Linked DNA regions of Coturnix japonica. The protein of the gene in region 4 purifies or fractionates together with the protein of the main gene of each other region. This does not show direct contact. Links are inferred from orthologs where the notes say so. Each region holds a gene or a part of one and is shown on either strand. Other genes may lie near its edges. The genes, in order: FBXW11, FBXW7, MAP3K14 and NFKB2.

Region 1 (4,541 bases), on a different chromosome or scaffold from region 4:
CACAAAGCACAAAGAAGTTCAGACCGCATGTTCAAATACCATCATCTCCCCAGGAAAAAACAGGAATTTCAATCTTACACATGCACCTAAAAAAAAAGGACTCCGTTCTTCAGGAACAAATAGCTTTGTTGGTTGGTTGGTTGTCTTCAGGGCTGCAACAGATTTTAAACCATTTGATATTAAAGCTATCAGACGAGGAGGGGAAGGGAGATACCTTCACACAGCACTGCCACCATCAGGAGCCGTTTTTAGCCTTCTGTACTTCGTCACGTTGGGTTCATCTTGGGGAAGGGAAGACGTCGCAGTAACACGTGAATGGGAGTTTAACACTGACCCCAACACTTCTCAATGTGAAGAGGAGAGAACCTTACAGATGCTCTGCTGTACCACCCTGGCAATGTCTTGATTCACACTTTCTCTGAGCTGGTTTGACACAAAGTGATGCCTCCCTGCACTCAGGAACCTGACAGCCCTCAGCCTTCCTGATGGTCCGGAGGAGAAACTCCAACCCAACAGAGTGCAGCCAGGGGACACAAACACACAACGATCCGTGGTGATCCATCCCTGTGCCAACACACGTCTTCACCAGGAAAACGGGAGCACTCCATGCTGAGATTGACTGAAGCACTGAAGAAAAGCCAGCAGCAGAGTCACACACAGCTAACGAAGGTACGATATTCAAGTCTGCATCTGTCCACGGCTTACTCCAATGTAAGAGAAATGCAGTAGCGTTCATGTGAGCACATAAATTAGAGGGGAGGCTGAGACAACATAAAAAGGAACTACCGAGATTCCCAAATAAAAGCATGCTAACAAAGAGAAACCATGACCAGGACGCTGCAATATGGTTACAGCTGAGAGCTACGGGTAAGGAACCCTGCAGGGCGATCAGAGCATTGACCTGAAGGGTCCTCCACCATGAGGAAGGGTTACAAACTGAACATAAATAAACTTCGCTTTGGCCCATGGCACCTCCTCCACTGAGCAGCCAAACTAATGCTAAAGGACGTCAGCAGGCGGCCGTGAGAACCTACTGGTGGTAAAAGAAAGACAACTGTAAATACTGCGGCACAAAATATAAGATACAGAACATAAATTAAACTTCTTCTTGGTTTGTCTGTTTTTTCGGTTTTTTTTAATTTTTAAAAAGTTTAGAAATTACATTTTAAAATACGTAGTTCCCATTAAAAAAATCCTAACGAATACTGAAAACCTCCTTTTTGCAGAGAAAATGTCTAGGTAATTCATATTAACCCCTACAGTGCCAGTAGTTAGAACATCCTGCTGCCAAGTGCTACCACAGCTTGCGTTAGTGTGCAGTGCCAGGAAACCCTGACTCCCAGCACCCGGAGGTTACACTGTTATGTACATCATATCTACATGCTTATACAGTATTTGAAATGAGGCAAGCACACACGGAAAGGTTTTTACTATACCAAACATTAGGAAGCGCAGGACGGCTGTCGTACAGAGCACAGTTAAAAGGAAAAGACGGTGCTATACAACTAGTTTAGATAACCTAGCCTGAATTACAGGAAATCTTTAATTTAAAAGAAATTATCGGAGCAGAAACAAGTAAACTGTAATCCAAAAATATTACTGAGCAATTCAGAAATATTTCTAAGAGTCCAACGTACACTCTATCAAACAAACCAGGCTCTGAATCTGCCATAAGAGCAAAGTCTAAAGGACAGCGATGACTTTGAAAGCAAAGCTCTGTACATTCTGGGTATGTGTTTGGCACCCAAATTTCATCGGAGAATGTTTTTTTTCTTTAAAGTCAGACAAAAGTGCAAAGCAATATAAATTAGGCCAAGTCCTTTCTTGACGTCTGATTTATTTCTGAAAAACAAGCCATCTGAGTTCAGGTTCTACGGACAATATACATGTGAAGCTTTGGATTTCTCACTGCAGGGAAGGGAAGGCTTCTGAAATTCATCTACTCGAAGTCAGTGAATTTGTAGTAAATTCAAAGACGACCACTGAGAGCAGGAAAGATTAAGAAATTTAGATATAGAATCGTGCTGCTTTGCATCTACACAGCATCTAGAACCAATTCTGACTTTAGCTGTCGATCAACATCTTCAGGCATGTAGGAGCCAAAATCCAGTAGTTCAAGACTGTGAAACCCTGAAAGAGACAAAAGACAAACTGAACTCACAGGACACGCAAGTCAAAAAGCACCTTTTGGAGACATACGGAGAAGGTTAAGCACCATCTTAGGCACTCCAGGCTGAAACTACAAAACACCTGTGAGGAGTACAGTGCTTATCATGTGAAGGAGGTACACAGCTTTAAACCATTCTGTGTTAGAAGTCCTTCCTCCAAGGATGGATGGATGGAACATGGGACACTGCCTTTGCTGCAGAATATGTTCTGAACATTTGAGCATCTTTCTTACATACCTTTGGGGGAACTAAAAGTTGAACCACCTGCTCATCTTGCTAAATGCTGAGCACTTAATTGAAGGAGTGACAACGGAACCTTCCTTCCCCCCATGCTGCAGAGGAACAAGCTTTGCTCAGGATATAAATTTCACTTCCAGTAAATGGGATTTTAAGAAAACACAACACACCAAAACTAGTTTTAGACTCCGTTTCCCCCATCCAGTCACATCATGTAAATATTTGGCATAATTAAACCCAAATTTCAGTCCTACTTGCCACTTTTTAAAATCACTTTTCTGGACTATGGTGAACCACCCCGTTCTGATATGAAATTGCCAAAGGTTAAAACATCTTTAGACATTAACCAATGGCTTCCCTTCCCCCTAACACAAGACCTAGTGCTTAATATAAGAATATCAGACTATCATATGGTAACAATTTTTATCATGTTACAATAAACAACAGGAATTCAACAGAAAGCAATAAAACTCTCACAGCCAACTGCCAGGACTGTCAAAAATGATCCGCTTTGAAGAGGCACAACATTGCAAGCCTTGTAAAAAACCAAGGGCGCGGGGCTGTTTCAAAACACAGAAAACTATAATGTTTGAAAGCATATAAAACTGTTTCATTAAGTGTCATAATGAAATATTAGCTGTTTGACCATAATTGTATGTAGATTTATGCTTTGTGGATTCTGATTTCAGAAAAACCCTTCAGAAAATGATATCACAGCATCTCTCCTGTACAGGAAACATCATTAAGGGACAGTCATTTATCAACACTAGCAATTCCTTGGATCATATCCCTGCGTGTTTTCAGTTGTGCATCACAGGACAAGTCAGACATAAGCTGCTAAAAATTGTCAAGTGTGCAGAATTTGAAAGGAAGAACACACCGCCAAAGGCTCTTCATATTTCACCCACTGATCTCCTTGACAGCAGATCTTGCAGGTCACAGGTGGCAAGAAAGAAGATAAGTCACCAACATATTCCTCTTGCGCTTAAGACAAACCACGTATAGCTTTTCCATAAATCAAAACTAGTAACCATTCAACTCCAACAAGCCTCGGAGTTTCCACAGTAAAAGTTCACCTAGGTATTGCTCCATGTGGCACAGCAGCCAACGGGAGCATCTCTGTCTATAGGGTATGGGGACACAACCAGTGATGGCACCAAGCTTTCCGCAACAAGAACACAACTATGCCACACAGGTGAAGTGATAAACTTATATATGTGAAGAGACAAAGACTTACCTTCTGAGGGTAGTAAAGTGCAGACTGTTATCTGGAGATGTAAGTGTATGTTCTAGATGGAGAGCGAGTCTCGTTTGGGGCACTGGGTGGCACGTTTAAGAAATCCCAAATCAGAATTGTATCGTCATGGGAACTACTAATGATCTGAAATTCATCAAACTGGAGCCTAAAGACACGTCCTGAATGTTCCTGTGAGTAATGGACATCAGTTAGGAGGCCAAGAAGAGGATAACAATTCATTATGTTTGTACTCAGACCTGGATGCAGAATGGTGTATTAAAATTTTGGTGCTCTGTTTAAGAAGCCCTTAGTTATAATCACACTTGACTCTAAAGAAAAGCAGTTTTCATACATAAACGTTGTTCAGCATAACACACAGCTTTCAAATAAAGTACTCATAAGCCCTGCCTCTCCCCTGCAGGGGCCCACTGCACATGTTGAGGCTGACATTATTAAGACTAACACAGTCTATCAGGAAGCATCGATCTACAAAGACTGGCTGGCAATAACGGTCCACACCAGGGGTTCCATCTTACATAACATTTCACATTCAACACTGCTGCTAACCCAGTTTTTGTACACATCATGGCTTCACCTAGGACACACTGCTCAAATCCTCAAATTAATTAATTAATTATACATACCACTAACGTACGCAAGCATAATGTACTTGCTGGGGCACGGGGGTCAAGAGCAGCTTGCAAGTCCCAAACTTTAATTTTGCTATAAAGAAAGATAAGAAGGTTAAAAGCATTGTTTCAAGTGTAAGCACAGAAACTTCTAAAAGCAATGGACAGAATATTCCAGATCTTCCCTCCAGCTGATTTATCAGCATCGAGCAAAATGTTATAATTTATCTTCACTAATTTACTAAAGCTGAATCCCATAAAACACGGGCA
Region 2 (5,296 bases), on a different chromosome or scaffold from region 4:
CTGCAACAAAGACAAGAGAACAAGTGAGGCTTTGTGACAAAGAGGTAAGAATAATAGAACCGTGAGGGCTGGAAAAGAGCTCTAAGTTCACCTAGGCCAAATATCAGCCCACCACCAAAGTACCCACTGACCAGCTCCCTCAGTGCCTCATCCACATGGTTCCTGTATGCCTCCAGGGACAGTGACTCCACCAGCTCCTGGACAGCCTGTTCCAGTGCCTCACCACTCTTTCAGAGAATAAATTTTTCTTAATATCAAGCTCGAACCTCCCCTGGTGCAGCTTAAGGCTGTTCTCTCTCACCCTATCACTGTTACCCTGGAGAAGAGGCTGAACCCCACCTCAGCACAACCTCCTTTCAGGTAGTGACAGAGAGTGATGAGGTCTCCCTTGAGTTTCCTCTTCTTCAAACCTAACAGTTCCAGTTCCTTCAGCCGCTCCTCATAAGACTTGTGCTCCAGACCCCTCACAGGTTTGTTGCCCTTCTCTGGACAAGCTCCAAGACCTTGAGGGGCCCAAAAGGCAGCAGCCATTCCTGGCGCTGGCAGCAGCTCCTGCCTTTGCTGCTCCCAAAGTGCTGCGTCCCTCTTGATCTGCTCTTGAGATGCCGTGGCTCTCAGCCCCCTGCTCTGCCCATTGAAATTCTGCCAGCATCCCATCCTTGGCACCGCTCCCAAAGTCAGCACTGAGAGCATCGCTAGCGTGACTGCTAACAGCTTTAACATGAGGAGGAAAGGAAAACGAGAGAGGAGTTTGGAGACTCGGATAAGCTCAGCCATCTGTTTGTGATACGCGGGAAGAGAAGAATCAGGTAAACAAGGGTATGGCAAGGGATAAAGAAACATCCAGCAAAAGATGACGGGGAGGCAGAAGCAGCTGCTGGAGCGGAGGAGCAGATGGGAAGAAGATAGCAGGCAATTGGAAGGCATTTAGCGTGGTGAGATGGCCTCTGGCCTGGCTGCCTTAAAGGGCAGAGCAGCGTCTGCCTGCACAGCCCTGGGGACAGGCTGACATGGCACACATCAGCACGCAGAGGGTGGGGAATGCCAGGGGTGAGTAGCACAGCCCATATGGAATTTGCTCTTCTGTGTTTTAGGATAACAACACGACCAAGTGCTTTTTTATTGTATTTTTTATTTTTCCCCATATGCTGTGAGACTTTCTGGCGCACGGCCACCTCACACGCTTAAGGAGCAGTTATTAAATCCTTTTATTTTTTGCTACCTTCCATAATGCAGACTAGGTGAACTCGTTAAGGTCCCATATAACGACCGCCCCGTCACAGACGGCAGACACTGCTGGAACTGCTATTGGGCTTGAGATGTAGGGACACGTGCAAGCATTGCTCTGATGACAACTCGCTGACACACGCTGCAGACCGTGGGTCGGTCTCCATAGCAGCGCCAACGCGCGGCCCTCCCGGCGGCGGGGCGGGGGCACGCGCACGTGCAGGCGTGCAAGGCCTTAGCACCTCCCCGCCCACCGCTCCGCGCTCTCTCTGTCTGTGGCTCCGCCCCTCGCGGCGGGAAGGAGGCGCGTCCATCCCGCGCGCAGCCGCCGTGCTCGCTCGGTGCCTCGCGGCGCCGCCTCCTTGTCCCGGGCTGAACCGTGCTGCCGCGGCGCTACCTGCAGGGCTCCACCTTGCCCTCCGAGCGCGTCATCGCCCCGCGCCGCCACGGGGAGAGAGCGGGCGGGGCGTGTTGCCGGGTTACGGCTGTCATCCGCGCGCGCCGCCGCGCTGCTCGCTCGTTCGCTCCCTCTCTCTCTCTCTCCCTCTCTCTCTCTCTCTGTGCTGCCCGCCCGCCCGCTCTCCCCGCCCCCTCTCGCCGCCGCCACCGCGAGCAGCGGACCCCGGGGCGCCCCCCGCGCCGCCCGCACATGCCGCAGAGCGCAGCGGCCGCGTTGCCGCTCCCCGCCGCCCGGCTGGGCCTCTAGCGGCCCCCCCGCCGCTGCAGCCGGGCCCGGAGTGCATGAGAGGGGGAGCGGGCCGGCGGCGGCCCCAGCCACTCGCCTCCCGGCCGGCCGCGGCGGCGGCGCAGCGCCCGGCCCGGGGGGCAGCGAGGGGCGGCGTCGGCCCCATGTGAGGAGGGGCGGCGCCGCTGCCGCCCAGCCAGCCCGGGGCCCGGCCCCGACAGCGCCCCGCCGCAGCGGGGCTGGACGCGGCCGCCCCCGAGAAGCCGCCCGGGGCCCCGCGGCGCCGGCAGCCCCGGGGCGGGGGGCGGCGGCCGGTCCCTTCCTTACCGCCGGGCGGGCGGGCGGGCGGGCGCGCACGGAGGCAGCCGAAGGACAACCCGCAGGAGCACGGCCCGACAAGTGAGTGAGTACCCGGGAGGGGGGGCACCTCTCCGCCGTTCTTTGTGTCCGGCGGCGCGGCGCGGGACGCCGAACAAAGAACGTGGCCGGCGGGAGCGGGGCCGGGCCCGCCTCGTGTGCTCGGGAGGGGGAACCTGCGGCACAACGTGCCCGGTCGCAACGAGCGGCCACCGAGTGCGGTGTGCGTGCCGCGTGCTCGTGCGCTTTTAAAGCCCGAAGTTGGCGCTTTGTGAAGAACTTCTCTACAAGTGATCTGCCCGTGAGGCTGGGGAGCCGCTTCTGGGGCCATCCCGGTCTATGGGGATGGGTTTTGTGGGTTTCTCCTTTTTCCCTTATTTTTTTGCATTTTTGCAGACTATGATTTTCCTCTGAGCGGAAACAACAAGAACCCCCAAAACAAACAAACATAAAACCACCCCAAATCAATAAAAAAGGAAACAAAACCAGAATTGCTGTAGTGGACTGCCTTGTGCTTAACCGGAGAAGATAACATGTAGTTATTCAGTGCAGAAAGCAAGCTCTGTCCATCCCTTCTGAGTTTTGTTCCTCCTGAGTTTACTCTCACACACCGCTGTCTCACCTGGGAGAGCAGCTCAGGTGCTGTTTGTTTGCAGTGTTCAGACACAGGTGCAGGAGCCAGTTCTGCCCAAACTGCTCGTTGTGTGTTTGCCATTGGCCCTGGTTCCTGTCTCCAGCCTGGGAAGCAGAAGGGAATGCAGAGGTAGGCAGTGCCCCACACGTGTGTCGGCTTCTCTTTGAGATGTAACTTTCTGGCAGATGGGAAGAGTCTATTTTAGGCCAAGATATCTCCCTGTCTTAAGCTCCTTGTTGTCATTGCAGTCTTAAAAAGGTGTGTGCCTGTGTGTGGGGGGAAATGAAGTCTCCGTTTAGATGAAGTTTTGCTTTTCTTGCCCCAGGAGCCAGAGGTTGGGAAAGGAGTTTTCCTTCAGGTCACGGTGCTGAAGGGATGGTTGGTGCTTTTGTCCACTGCCTGTAGGAGTCAAAAGACACCGCATCTCCCCCTGCTCTGCTGTGGAGATTACATTTGCTTTTATGTCACTTCCTGGTTTCAAACTTAAATTTGCCCTTTGCTGTTCCGCTGTCCTGTTTCTAATAACATCCCCATGCTGCCTGTTGGCAGCCCCAGAGCGTTCCTGTGGGGGTTCCAGGCACACACATATCTCAAGAGAATATATGGCATCATGCTATTAAAATGTTTTTTTGGGGGGTTTAGGTAACTTTTCCTATTCTAGCTCATATCTAATCAGAGCAATTCTACTAGCATCTGTTGCACTAGCATCTGTTTGGTAGCAGAGATATTCCTTTTCAGAAGGTGCATGAGTTCGGTCTGTATCAGCTTTTTAGAGGGGCTTTAGAAAAAGATGTCATTTATATCTTCAGACTGACTCTCAGATCAAGTTCTTTCTTCCCCCTGCGTATGCATGCTTTACTTTGAAGAAGAACTTCAGTAGGATTTCTTCTCTGAGCTCTCAGGATTGGAACGTGTGTGGTGGTTTAGGCCCGCTGATGTCATTGAACCAAGTTCTGTCTCTTTAAGGAAACCAAGCATCTTTTAGTCAGCGTTAGTCATGTAGTCTGTGTGAAGTTCAGGCTGCTCTTAGCAAATGTGTTTAATCTTTTCACTGTTCCTCTTAAGAACACAGTCACACTGAGTTTACGTGCATCACATTTGAAATGAAAGTGCTGTTAAGCTGAAAAAGCTGAAGTATCTTCAGCTTTCTTTGATGCAAGTTGTGTGTATCAGGTAATTCCTGGAAGAGATGACATGAAATGCTTGTAGTCACTCCTGCCAATACTCTTCTGTGTTAAAAGGACTGTAGCTATTTGCAGAAACTGGGGGGTGAGTCTGCACTAACACATCTCTCATAGTTGCTCGATAGACTGAGGATGCTTACGAGGATTCTACAGACCTGTGTCAGCAGAGATGCGAGATGTTTGTTTGATGAGGGCTTGTACACATGCAAGTTTAGAAATCAGCTGATTGTTAACAAAATTCTTGGTCTTGCGGTTTGGTGGCACAGCCGCTGGTGCTGCTGGAAGCTGTGCTGGCTTAAACCAAAGGCTGGCTGGGCCCGCTGCCCTGCGGTCACCCCTGTGTGAGCAGCAGCGTGCGCTGCTGGCTGCTTTCCTCACGGCACCCTGCCCATGCCTGTCCCCTTGTGGCTTTGGCTGCTTCGTTCTGGGCATCCAGCCTCGTGGTGGCTTGTTCTCATGTGAATGGGGCTTGGAGGGAAGAGGAGATATGGTTTATGTAAGTAAGCGCTTCCACTTGTCAGCCCATATCTCTGAAGTTTATGCTTAAAAAATCCCCCGCGCCCTTCTCTTTGAAATAGTGGTTATCTTATGAGAGTTCTACCGAAATTATTCATGATGTCATGTCTTAAGGTATGAGCAGGTATCTTACTCTGTTACTAACTCAACATGTTACCATCAGCTAGAGAGCCTGGTGCTACAGCTTGGCTAGTAAGAGGAGATGTGAAATACTTCTTGTTCAAAACAAATATGTTTAGCTCAGATCATTTTTGCATTGTGAGCTGAGGTGGTTGGCTTCTCACTGAAGGATGAGGAGTCTGCATATATGCTTTTTCACTGGCAGAATACCGATGTGATTTCAGCAGTAAATGTTCAGGTGCAGGTTACCTATGGGAACAAGTTTTGTACTCAGACAGCTGTTCTGCTCCCTTCTGGGTCCCTCCAAGATGGTCAGTGGTGGTCACTGCTGACCAAGCCAGCAAAATTTGTTGAGTTATCTTGATCAACTGTAAATAGGGTTCTGGAATGGAGAGGTGTGGGATGTTCTGTCTGTATGCACTATTGCCAGTTTTGCCTCTAACTTTGGAGTTGTACCAGTATGGTGCATTTTGCAATGCAGTTCACTCACCCTCAGCTTTTGTAATTTTCTTTGAAAAAGAAGAACACAAAAGGCAATTTCTACTTCTTCCTTTAAAAGTGCTTGCCAGATTT
Region 3 (5,067 bases), on a different chromosome or scaffold from region 4:
GAGTGAAACCGCACACCGCCTCGCGCGGCCCTTCTCAATGAACAGCAGCGCTCCCTGCTACTCACACTCTGCCTGGGCAATAATGGAGATGGACGCGCAGCCTCCTTCTGTTTCTTCTTTTGCTGTTCCTTTGGTGATGACGTCGTTGAGGATTTTCCACTGGCTGTGGAAGATGGCTTTCTTGGAATCCTCCACTTTGCAAACGCTGCTTTGCTTCTCGCTGGCGGCCTCGTGCAGCCCTTTGGTGGCACTGAGCTCCTGCTGCTGCTTGGTGGGCGGAGCGGGAGCTCCATGGCACACAATCCCCATCACTGCCATTTCACAGCTTCACAGCCCCTAATGAGGAATGGGAAAATAAAAGCACAACACTCATTATAACACCTCCCAGGCAAAGCAGCTCCACACTCGGGAGAAAAAGAAGCCTGCCCACGGCGTCCATTAACACTGATCCAATGCAAAGCAAGGCTCGACGCAGCGCTGAGCATGGAAGCCAAGACAAACCCACCCCCACCAGCTCCCACGCGGGGCTGTACCCCATCATCACAGCCACCCCTGCCCCTTCTCTACAGAAATCAAGGCAGATCTCAGGGCTGTAAAACAATCCCTCGGAGCAGCAGAAGCCGGCAGCAGATGACTAACAGTGAGCCTGCAGCGCACACCAACAGGCTCAGAGCTATTTTTACACTCACTGCTGCCCCGTCTGCATTAACTCTGTCCCTCCTTGCCCTCTCCTCACCTTCAGGGGCTGCAGAGCAAAGCCCTGCCCACCCCTGAGAGCGCGCAGCTCTGCAAGGTGCTCCTCGGTTAAAAGGTAATAGAGGGAGGGGAGATGTGGAACCGCAACCGCCTGATAAGGAAAGGAGCAGCACGGGAACATCGATGGGAGTGAAATCTGAAGGGGGAACCTCACTGGGCAGCACACAAAGCTCATGTGGGTCGATGGGGCACTGTGGGCTCCGGAGCTGCCAGCTCCAAGCACTGCCATCCAACCTGCAGGCTTTACAGGACCCCAAAACCAATGTGCAGCTCAGAGCACCTGGGAGCTGTGATGAAAAGGAACCGATGCAGAACTTCTACATAATGGCTGCAGCAGATGAGCAGCTCAGGATGGACCACGCAGCACTGAGCCCCATGATGCTCCAATGTAAGTGCTGTGAGCTGTGAGCTGTGCCCCCCATCCTGCCCTCCTGCACTGAGCGCACCTGGCGCTGCGGGTCCCAGCTCTGCTGCTTTCAGAACCTCCTCTGGCTCATCCACATCACTGAGACTCAACTCTTGATTTCAGTACCCCTGGCTTCCTTCCTTCCTCCTGCAGATGTGTGCACGGGCTCGTGCTTTGCCAGAGGAAAAGGAGAGGTCAGGTAACGAGGCACTAAGTGAAGGCGAGCGCTGCAGCACCGATCCACGCAGGGCCCTGGATGGCAGCGGGAAGGGTTGTTGAGGAAGGCTGCAGCTCTCAGCCCGTTAACCAACGTCAGTTCTCACTGCTGTAAAATAGAAAGTGCAGTTGTACAGAACGAAAGCCGACATGGTATCAGTTGTGCTGCGGCAGCACCGGCACAGAGCTGACGGCTTCCGCTGGGAGCTGCATGGGGCTGCGGGGCACAGAGCAGTGCTGCGGGGCTTCCTGCTCCTTCCACCTTCCCCCCAGCAGCTCCCCGCTGCCCCTTCCCACCCCAGCAGTGTCCTGCATTGCACACAGCTCTGCTCTCCCAATCTGAGTGTGCTGCAGCTGCTTCATGTTGACATTTCACGTCGTCTCCATGAGGTTTCCCACTTCCTTATTGAGAAGAGCGCGATGAGCAGCGCTGACTTGGGGACTCCACCAACACAACACAATGCCCTCAGCTCCAGCAGGACAAGGCTGGGCTGCCACGTTGGGGCTCCAGCCCAAACTCAGGCGGTTCCGTTCCCAGCAGCGTCAGCTCACAGCATGTTACTGCAGCGCAGAGCAGCTCCGTGCTGACGGGAGGGAGAAGTTTCGCTTTGTCTCAGTAGGGATTGAGAAAAGAAAGCTGCAGCGCTCAGCACACGCCCCTTGTCCTTAACTCACACACTGCGCACGCAAAGAGAGGAGAAAAGACTTCCTGGAGGTACGAGGAGCTCCGGGCTGGGAAGGAGCACAGGCTGCAGGGCAGCAGCCAGAGCAGGAGGTGCAATGCTGGGCTGCTCCTCACACTGTGCTGCCTCCTCTGTACGGTGCTGCCTCCTCTGCATGGTGCTCCCATGGCCTGATGGCTCCCATTGCCCTCCAGCTGTGCAGGACTCCCGGTGCTGTCAGTGAGGTTTGTTACAGACACCTCCTGTTCCACTGGTTTGATGGCAAGCACTGCAAGCTCCTATTTCTGCTTACCCTGGGATGGAGAGCACCAGTATCCACCCGGCCCTCCTGCAGCCGGGACACAAGAGCTGCAGGGAAACATCCGTGAGCAGAACTCCATGTACCAACCATCTGTCGCTGTTTCCCTCAGCACGAGTCCCTTCATGAGCAGAGATGTGAATGGCAGCGTGTCCCCATGTGTTTGATGCACTCAGCTTTCCCAGCTCAGAGCCCACCGCCAGCACTCTGCCCTGCAGCCCATGGGACACAGCTGCACCCGGCTGGGTCACCCCCAGCACCGAGTGGATCCGAACCAGCTCCGTGCTGTCAGCAGGGCCCAGCGCTCACTGTGACACCGCAGCACAGCCCGAGCCTTCCAACTCACACCTACAGACACCAAACAACCCCAAAGTTCTGCCCAGCTCAGCACACATGGAAGCTCCTCAGCGTTATAAGGGCCGGGTACCGGCCGGGCCGCCCTTCACACGCGCTGAGCCCGGAGCGGCCCAAGGGAAGCGGCGATCCCAGCTCGGCCCCGCCACAACGCGCCGCGTTTCACAGCTCGAAGCGGGTGAGTCACCAACGAGGAATTCAAAGGCAGCGCCACGACCGGGCAGCGGCACGGCCTGAACGGCGGCACGGCCTGAACAGCGGCACCGGCCCGAACGGCGGCACGGCCCGAACAGCGGCACGGCAACGGCACGGCACGGCACGGCCCGGCCCGGCCCGCCCCGGCCCGGCTTGAGGTAAGGCGCTCCTCGTCCCCGCCCCGCCCCAGGCCCACCCCGCATACCCCAGCCCCCTGCCCCGCTGACCCTGTTCCCGCAGCCCTCCCTCCCTCCCTCCCTCCCTCCGGTACCGGCCGATCTCGTCGCTCCTCCGCGCTCCGGTCTTCGGTGCCGCCCGCCCCGCACACACCCCGTCCGTCCCGCCGTCCGTCCCGCCGCTCCCTCACACTGACAGGCGCGGGCGCCGCCGGTCCCGCCCCATCCGCCTGGCAGCCAATCACCGCGCTCCGATCCTCCTCTTGCCCCGCCCATTCTCCTCCCGCTCCGCCCCGCAGCCAATCGCCTCCCTTCGTTTTCTCTCGCCCCGCCCCATCTGACCCGCGGCCAATCACCGCCCAGGATTCCCTCCCCGCCTCCCGGCCGGTTTCCCGGAAGGGCGGAGCTTCCGGCGAACAGCCCCGCCCACCGCCTCGTGCAGGTGGTACTGCGCACGCGCGGTTTGTGGGCGCGCATGCGCAGAGCGAGCGGTGGGCGGGGCGGAGCTGCGGGGCTGCGGGTCGGTGTGAGGGGGAGGGGCGGGTGGTGCCATGAAGGGAGGAGGGGCCGGGCTGAACGGGCCGGGCTGAACGGGACGGGCACGGAACCAATAATGCTGCGGCACCGCCCCCCCCCCCGGCTGTGTAGCACAAACTGCTCCCGTGCCCCGCAGCTCCACCTTTGTGCCCTGCAGCACCTAGCCCATATCCCCACATATCCCCCATATCTCCCTATATCTCCCCATATCTCCCCATATCCCCCCATATACCCCCCGTGTCCCCCCGTGTCCCCCCATATCCCCCCCCATAGGACCCCTGTGACCCCATATCCCCCATTATCCCCTATATCTATATCCCCCATATTCTCCTCCGTGTCCCCATATCCTCTGTGTCCCCATATCCACCTCCCGTGTCCCCTTGTCCCCCCATATCCCCCCATATCTTCTCCGTGTCCTCATATCCCCCCTTATCCCCCTATATCCTATATCCCCCCATATCTCCTCCGTCTCCCCATATTCCCCTCTGTGTCCCCCTCTGTGTCCCCATATCCCTCCATATCCCCCCAGTGTCCCCATATCCCCCCCGTGTCCCCTTGTTCCCCCATATCTCCTCCGTGTCCCCATATCCCCGCCCAGTGTCCCCTTGTCCCCCCACATCCTCCCATATCTCCTCCGTGTCCTCATATCTCCCCATATCCCCCTATCCCCCATATCCCCCCGTGTCCCCATATCTCATCTGTGTCCGCGATCCCCCCGTGTCCCCATATTCCACCATATTCCCTCCGTGTCCCCATATCCCCCGGTGTCCCCATATCCCCCTCCCTGTGTCATATCCACCATTACCTTCGATGTCCCCATATCCCCCCCGTGTCCCTATATCCCTCCATATCTCACCATATCCCCCTCCCCGTGTCCCCATATCCCCCGTGCCCCCATTATATCCCCTATTACCCCCATTATATCCCCATCACACACTGGACGCCGCCTGAGGTTTGCGGCGGATTCTCCCGCTGTCCCGGCTCTGGGCGCAGCGTTACGGTCACAAACTCAGCCCCCCCCTCCGCTCCGAACGGACCCTCCGGCGATAACGGAGCTGGTTCGGACCGTGGGTGTCGGCAAAGAACTCGCAGCGTCCGCTGCTCACAAAGGGAACACGGAGAAGCGCTGCCTCGCGGCGGGGTTTTCAATGCAGGGACGGACGGAGCGGCCCAACTCCGGGTTGTGCTGCAGGGATCGAAGTTCGGGGCGAACGCGAACGGAGCGAGAGTGAGAACCGCTGTTACGGTGCGCGATGAACCGGCTGCATCCGCTCCTCCGTGAGCAGCTCACCGCGGTCACAGCGTTACACGGGGATGGACGGGGCAGCAAATGGCCCAAAGGTTTCACTTCCCGGCTCACACGGGCGGGTCTGACATCCACCCCCACGCGTGGGGCGCAGCTTTGGATGCTGCATCGTGCAGGGCTTTAACGCCGGGTTGGCGAAC
Region 4 (5,205 bases):
CAGCAGATGGGGCACAGCGGGGCCAGGTGGCACAGCCCTGCTCTGGAGCGTAGGGCTGGGCTCCCAGCCAGCCCACACCAGGGACAGGGGAACACGGGGCTGCTGCGAGCCACCCAAGGGGACACAGCGCTTACCTGTCTCCATCAGGGGCTCCTTCTGCTCCACCATGTGGGAGCCAAAGCTGAAGTCGTCGTAGTCAATTCCATCCAGGCACTGGGAAGGAAGGGCAGCGTGAGCTGCAGGGCTGGACCCCCCCGGCCGAAAGCAGACCGCACGTAGCTCCCCACTTCCCAGGGACGAGGGGGATCAGACACAGAGCGCCCATCTCACGCCCACCCGGGGTCCGCCGAGCCCAGCCCGAGCATTAGGACGGACAGGCGGACAGACAGGACGGCACGCGTGCACACGAGCGGACAGACGGCGCCCCGCGGGACCCCCCGGCCGCACTCACGGGCTGGAAGTGCTCGTCCATGTCGCTGCGGGGCCGGCCGCCGGCCTGCGGGAACGGCGGGCGCGGAGCGGGGCCGGCGGCGGCAGGAAGGCAGAGCGCTCCGGAAAGTCCCTAGAAACCCCGCGGAGCCGGGAAATGACGGCCCCGCGCGTCACCGCCCCGCCCCGCCCCGCCGGCTCGGCACGGCCCCGCGGCCACCGGCGGCCGGAGGGCGGAGCGGGGCGGGGGCGAAGCGGGGCTGTTCGGGCGCGGGGCGAGTCGCTTCCAGCCCTCCCGAAACACCCGGGGAGTTTTGGGCGCTGAGCGGGAGGATCGCAATCACTCAGCGGCGGGGCCCCGCGGGGGCAGCCCCGGGAGGGCTGGAAATCCCGACGGCGCCTCCGGGGCTCGGCCCCGCGCCCGCAGGGACGCTCCATCCTCGGCTCACGGCGCTGCCCCGCGGCGCGTCCCGGGCACGGCACGGAGCGGCTCCCCCGGACGCGACGGGTCCCGCGTAAGGGCGGCCCCGCCACCTCCCTCCCCTTCGAGGGGCCGCGGCCGCCGTCTGCCAGCCGCCTCCCCATCCCTCCTCCCCGCTCTCCCAGGGCCCACCCCGCACCCGCAGCCCGGCTTACCGTGCCGGAGGCGGCCGGCCGCAGCAGCCCGTCCAGCCCCAGCATCGCCGCGGGCACCGCCGGGTCAGGGTTTGCCGCAGGGAATCGCCGCGGAGATCGGGCAGAGGGCACGGTCAGGGCAGCGCGGGGTGAACTCGCTTCCTCCGCATCCCTTCTCCTCACTGAGCAAGGAAGGAAAAAGAACGATCTGAGTCCGCCGTGCCCTCATACCACGATTTTCTGAATCAGTGGCTGCCGCAGGTCCCGCTCAAGGGGATTTTGGGTGTGTGGGAGACGGGGGGAAGGAAGGGGATTGTTCAGCTCGTGCGTGACTCATATTCTTCGGAAGCTGCAAAGCGCTTCTTCCAGGAGATTCTCCGGCCCCCTGGGCCTCCAGGGGCTGCCCTGTGTCCCAGCCCAGAGGTGCAGCTCGGGCAGTGTCTTAGCCCAGGTGTGGGGCCGGGGGACATTCCTTGGGCCGCTCCCAGAGCCCGAGAGCACAGCACGTTCTTGGCCCTGCACCGGTGGGGAGCTCCACACCTGCTTGGGATCCTGCCCCTGCACCCTCAGCCCCCAGAGCTGTTGGCACGGATGTCACAGAGATGAATGAGGAGAAGAGTATCCCTGCACTGCAGCATCACGCCCAATGGGCCCATGGGAAGGGCCCGCTGTGCCCTTCACATGCAGCAGTTCTCCTTTCTCTGTCCCTTCCTGAGGGGCTTTCACAGATTGCTCAGCACTGCCCTCGTTGCAGCACACAGCACAACAAGGTGCAACACAGGGCAGCCCTTTCCTCTGTCCAGCCCACGACTCACTCCAGAGGTTTCCCTTTCCTGCGCCCATGTGTCAGGAGAAGCTGGAACACCTGGCTCGTAAGCAGGGTCAGGGGCAGCTTCATTTCCTTGTTCCTGGAAGCCACACAGCTCAGCCCGGCTCTCAGGCAGGGGGCTGCCTTCTGCACTGAGCAGCCCCAGCCATCAGAGGCCCCAATCTCCCCCTGCATGGCCCCACGGGAGCCCACTTCCCTCCTGCCCCACATCTTCAGGCCTTCCCACAGCTCAGGTGCCCAGGCCTGCTGCTGCCCCGTGCAGATGCTGTTCTCTTCCCTCCCGTGACAGCTGCTGTGTTGGGGCCCTGCAGGCAGGACAGCTCCATGTCTGTCGGTCTGGCTGCCAGCAGGGATGTGCAGCAGCCCCGGGAAGGTGCTCCAGGAGCACAGGATACAGCAGGAGTGCTCCGACCCACGCTGGCATACAGACACCGTGCTGCAGCCCCCACCCTGGGCCACTCCTCTGCCATTTTGCTCCCCAGGAGCCGCCTGAAGTCACAAATCACGGCCCTAAATTCCCAACCTCGTGCTGTCTGCACAGCTCCAGGCTCAGTTCCATCGCAGCTATGTGCATCTATGGCCACCAAACCCTCAGCCCACTGCCCACCTCCAGCACAGAACCACCTGAGCGCAGTTCTCCCACAACAGCCGAGTTTGTTCGATCAAACCCCGGCCGCACAGCGATCAGCCCCGTCCGCCCTGTTGCCGTGTGCCCGCACAGCCCGCAGAAGCCGCTCCTGGTCCCGCATTACCCTCAGGTCCGCTGCAGCATCGGCCCCCGAGGCAGCTTTGGTGCAGCGCTGCGGGGCCCCCGTCCGACAGCAGCACCCACCGCGCTCAGCAGGGAGACACGCGACCTTCCCCGGGGCAGCTCGGCCGTCCAGCACCGACCCCCCCCATCTCCCCGCTGCCCACCCCGCAGTACGGGACCGGCGCAGCTTCTCCCGTCCGCCCCGTCCGCCCCGCCGCTCACCCCCGACCCCTCGCGGCTGCCGCTGCCCCGGGAAAGTCCCGTCCCGGCTCCGCCTCCCGGGGCTTCCAGGCCCGCCCCGCACGCAGGGACACGGGGACACGGGGCGGAGCGCAGCCGGCCCGTGGGGGCCTGCGGGGCTGCGGTTGGTTCGGTTGTGGTTCGTGCATTGTTGGTAACTTTCATTCTTTTTTTTTTTTTTAATATATTATATATAAAAAATCCTCTTTAACTACACGTACCGGTGGGTTCTAGGCCGATTGTGAGCTGGTCGGGAAGCACAACCTGATCAACGCGCACAGCAGCAGCAACCACCCCTCTCGAGGGACAGGAAAAACTATATAATATGTGTATGTACACATATATATATATACATATACATAGCTCTATGTCCACACACACACACTCGTTGCTCTCCCACGAGCCCAGGGGACGGCAGAGGCCACAAAGGACTCACTCACCCTGGGCAGACCCCAAGCAGCTGCAGACCTGCAAGGCCTCCCATGCTGGCTTATAAGGAGCGTGGAATGGGCACAGACAGCCCAGGGAAGCCACTGGGCACAGCCTGGGCAGTGGATCCTGATTGCACCCGGCAGCTGAAAGGAGGCAGGGCCAGCCCCTGTGCAGGGACATGGGCTGCAGCCCCAGGTGGGAGGGCAGGTACCGAGCACCATGTGCACACACACACACACACACACACACACACACACACACCCAGAGGCACTAGGGTGGGAGACGCTCGTGGCACGGAGCTCAGAGCATGGGCAGCCCCTCCGCGCCAGGCAGGCTGTCCTCCCCTTTGTGGCTCTTGGGGGCCCGGCTGGCTCTCAGCAGCACCAGAAAGGTGTCTGTAGAGATGGCCCCGAACTCAAAAGTGAAGGTGCCATAGAAGACCAGAACGTCAATGATGAACACCCACTCGCACAGGGCGGCCACGTGCTGCAGAACAAAACTCTCCTGGATGAAGAACACACCGCCCGAGGACACGCTGGTCAAGGAAAGTATGGCCACATCCCAGGTACACACAGAGTACAGCGCCCTCTGCAGCAATCCCACCACCTCAAAACTAAACCCACCCCTTAGTCCCCTCCAACCCCTGCCACCTGCACTGCTCCCCAACCCATTCCCAGCCCCTGTACAGCCCTGCATCACAGCACTGCCCCTGCACAGGGCTGCACAGTCTGCAGCCCCAGTGTGGACCAAGGGCCGTGCCCTGCCTGCAGGCTGCTGTGGTTTTCCTGTGCTGGGCACCTGCACAAAGTGCTTCTGTGCTCCGCTTGGGTCAGCCTCAGCTCTGTCAGGGCACTGCTATAGCTAATTCAGGATGTGCATTACCAAGGGCTCAAAATACCTGTTAATACAAACAGCTCGTTCCCCACTCCACCCAGCACAGGGCTGGAGCCCTGCCAGGCTGCCATACCCCCAGACCACACGGCATCAGGCTGGAGCCTGGCCTCACCTGGGCCCAAATGGCCAGGAGAAGGATACTGAAGATGAGTGTGACGAAGGCCACGGCGGTGAGGATGCTGCGCAGGTGGCCTGTCCAGTAGTGCCCGTGGGTCTTGGCTGCACGGTACGTGAGGACGGACTGCAGGAAGACGAACAGCATGCTGGTGGGGAAGGCCACCCCCGCCCCAATGTAGTGCAGCACCTTGGCGTGGTCCACCTGTGGGCACAGTGTGGGCACAGTGTCATGTTCCATGTCCCCCATCCCAGCCTGGCTCACTCCCACCCCGCAGCCTTACCTGGAAGTTGCCCACCATGGTGAGCCCAGCAGCACAGAGCCAGCCTGCAGCCAGCCCCAGGGTGTTGAGAAGCGATGGCCCAATGCGCTCCAGGACGTGGGCGTACCTCAGCAGCCCCACCAGGATCACTGCGGGATGGAGAGCACCTGTCTGCACCAATGGCAGCAAACCCTGATGCTCGGCTGCCCCCCTCCGCACCACAGCAGGCACCCACAGATTGGCACCACACAACGCCTGCTCCCAGCCCGGTGCCACACACTCACCCATGAAGGAGCCCAGGCTGCAGATGAGGCTGAAGAAGCAGCTCTCAGGAGGCAGGGTGCCACACTTGCTGTGGGTACAAGGCAGGGCAGCCCTCAGCAGGTGTTACCAGGCTGCGGGGTCCCCCGGGGTCTGCTCAAGGATGACCCCGAGCACCCAGCATTCCCCGTGCCCCCACTGCCCCTCACCTGACCAGCGGGATGTGATCCAGTGTGCAGCAGGAGCCGGGGCTGTCCAGGCCACACGACTGGTTGTAGTTCCTGCAGGGAGCAATGGATGTGCTGGGGAGCTGGGGGCCCCAGAAGAGGATCCCCATCGGGGTCACCCCAATGCCCCATCACACAGCCACAGAACCC

Evidence for each region.
Region 1: the proteins of NFKB2 (region 4) and FBXW11 purify together in Homo sapiens (affinity purification with mass spectrometry; 8 studies listed by BioGRID and IntAct, with this or other methods). This does not show direct contact. The link is inferred for Coturnix japonica from reciprocal best matches to the Homo sapiens genes NFKB2 and FBXW11.
Region 2: the proteins of NFKB2 (region 4) and FBXW7 purify together in Homo sapiens (affinity purification with mass spectrometry; 7 studies listed by BioGRID and IntAct, with this or other methods). This does not show direct contact. The link is inferred for Coturnix japonica from reciprocal best matches to the Homo sapiens genes NFKB2 and FBXW7.
Region 3: the proteins of NFKB2 (region 4) and MAP3K14 purify together in Homo sapiens (affinity purification with mass spectrometry; 6 studies listed by BioGRID and IntAct, with this or other methods). This does not show direct contact. The link is inferred for Coturnix japonica from reciprocal best matches to the Homo sapiens genes NFKB2 and MAP3K14.

The regions. Positions count from the first base shown.
Region 1 is NC_029528.1:13,887,884-13,892,424, forward strand, and holds part of FBXW11 (F-box/WD repeat-containing protein 11), read right to left. Parts: intron 4,366-4,541; coding exon 4,287-4,365; intron 3,832-4,286; coding exon 3,670-3,831; 3' UTR 3,643-3,669; intron 2,131-3,642; 3' UTR 1-2,130.
Region 2 is NC_029519.1:29,877,535-29,882,830, reverse strand, and holds the start of FBXW7 (F-box/WD repeat-containing protein 7), read left to right. Parts: upstream 1-2,210; 5' UTR 2,211-2,311; exon of another isoform or gene 2,312-2,315; intron 2,316-5,296. UniProt on the Homo sapiens protein: Substrate recognition component of a SCF (SKP1-CUL1-F-box protein) E3 ubiquitin-protein ligase complex which mediates the ubiquitination and subsequent proteasomal degradation of target proteins.
Region 3 is NC_029542.1:891,815-896,881, forward strand, and holds the start of MAP3K14 (mitogen-activated protein kinase kinase kinase 14), read right to left. Parts: upstream 3,302-5,067; 5' UTR 3,180-3,301; intron 2,932-3,179; exon of another isoform or gene 1,203-2,931; intron 337-1,202; 5' UTR 319-336; coding exon 66-318; intron 1-65.
Region 4 is NC_029521.1:14,448,244-14,453,448, reverse strand, and holds the start of NFKB2 (nuclear factor NF-kappa-B p100 subunit), read right to left. Parts: upstream 3,036-5,205; 5' UTR 2,847-3,035; intron 1,545-2,846; exon of another isoform or gene 1,227-1,544; 5' UTR 1,111-1,226; coding exon 1,066-1,110; intron 589-1,065; exon of another isoform or gene 473-588; coding exon of another isoform or gene 452-472; intron 214-451; coding exon 135-213; intron 1-134. Other genes in the region: TMEM150A (transmembrane protein 150A), read right to left, coding at 3,597-3,820, 4,332-4,509, 4,589-4,716, 4,852-4,919, 5,038-5,109. UniProt on the Homo sapiens protein: NF-kappa-B is a pleiotropic transcription factor present in almost all cell types and is the endpoint of a series of signal transduction events that are initiated by a vast array of stimuli related to many biological processes such as inflammation, immunity, differentiation, cell growth, tumorigenesis and apoptosis.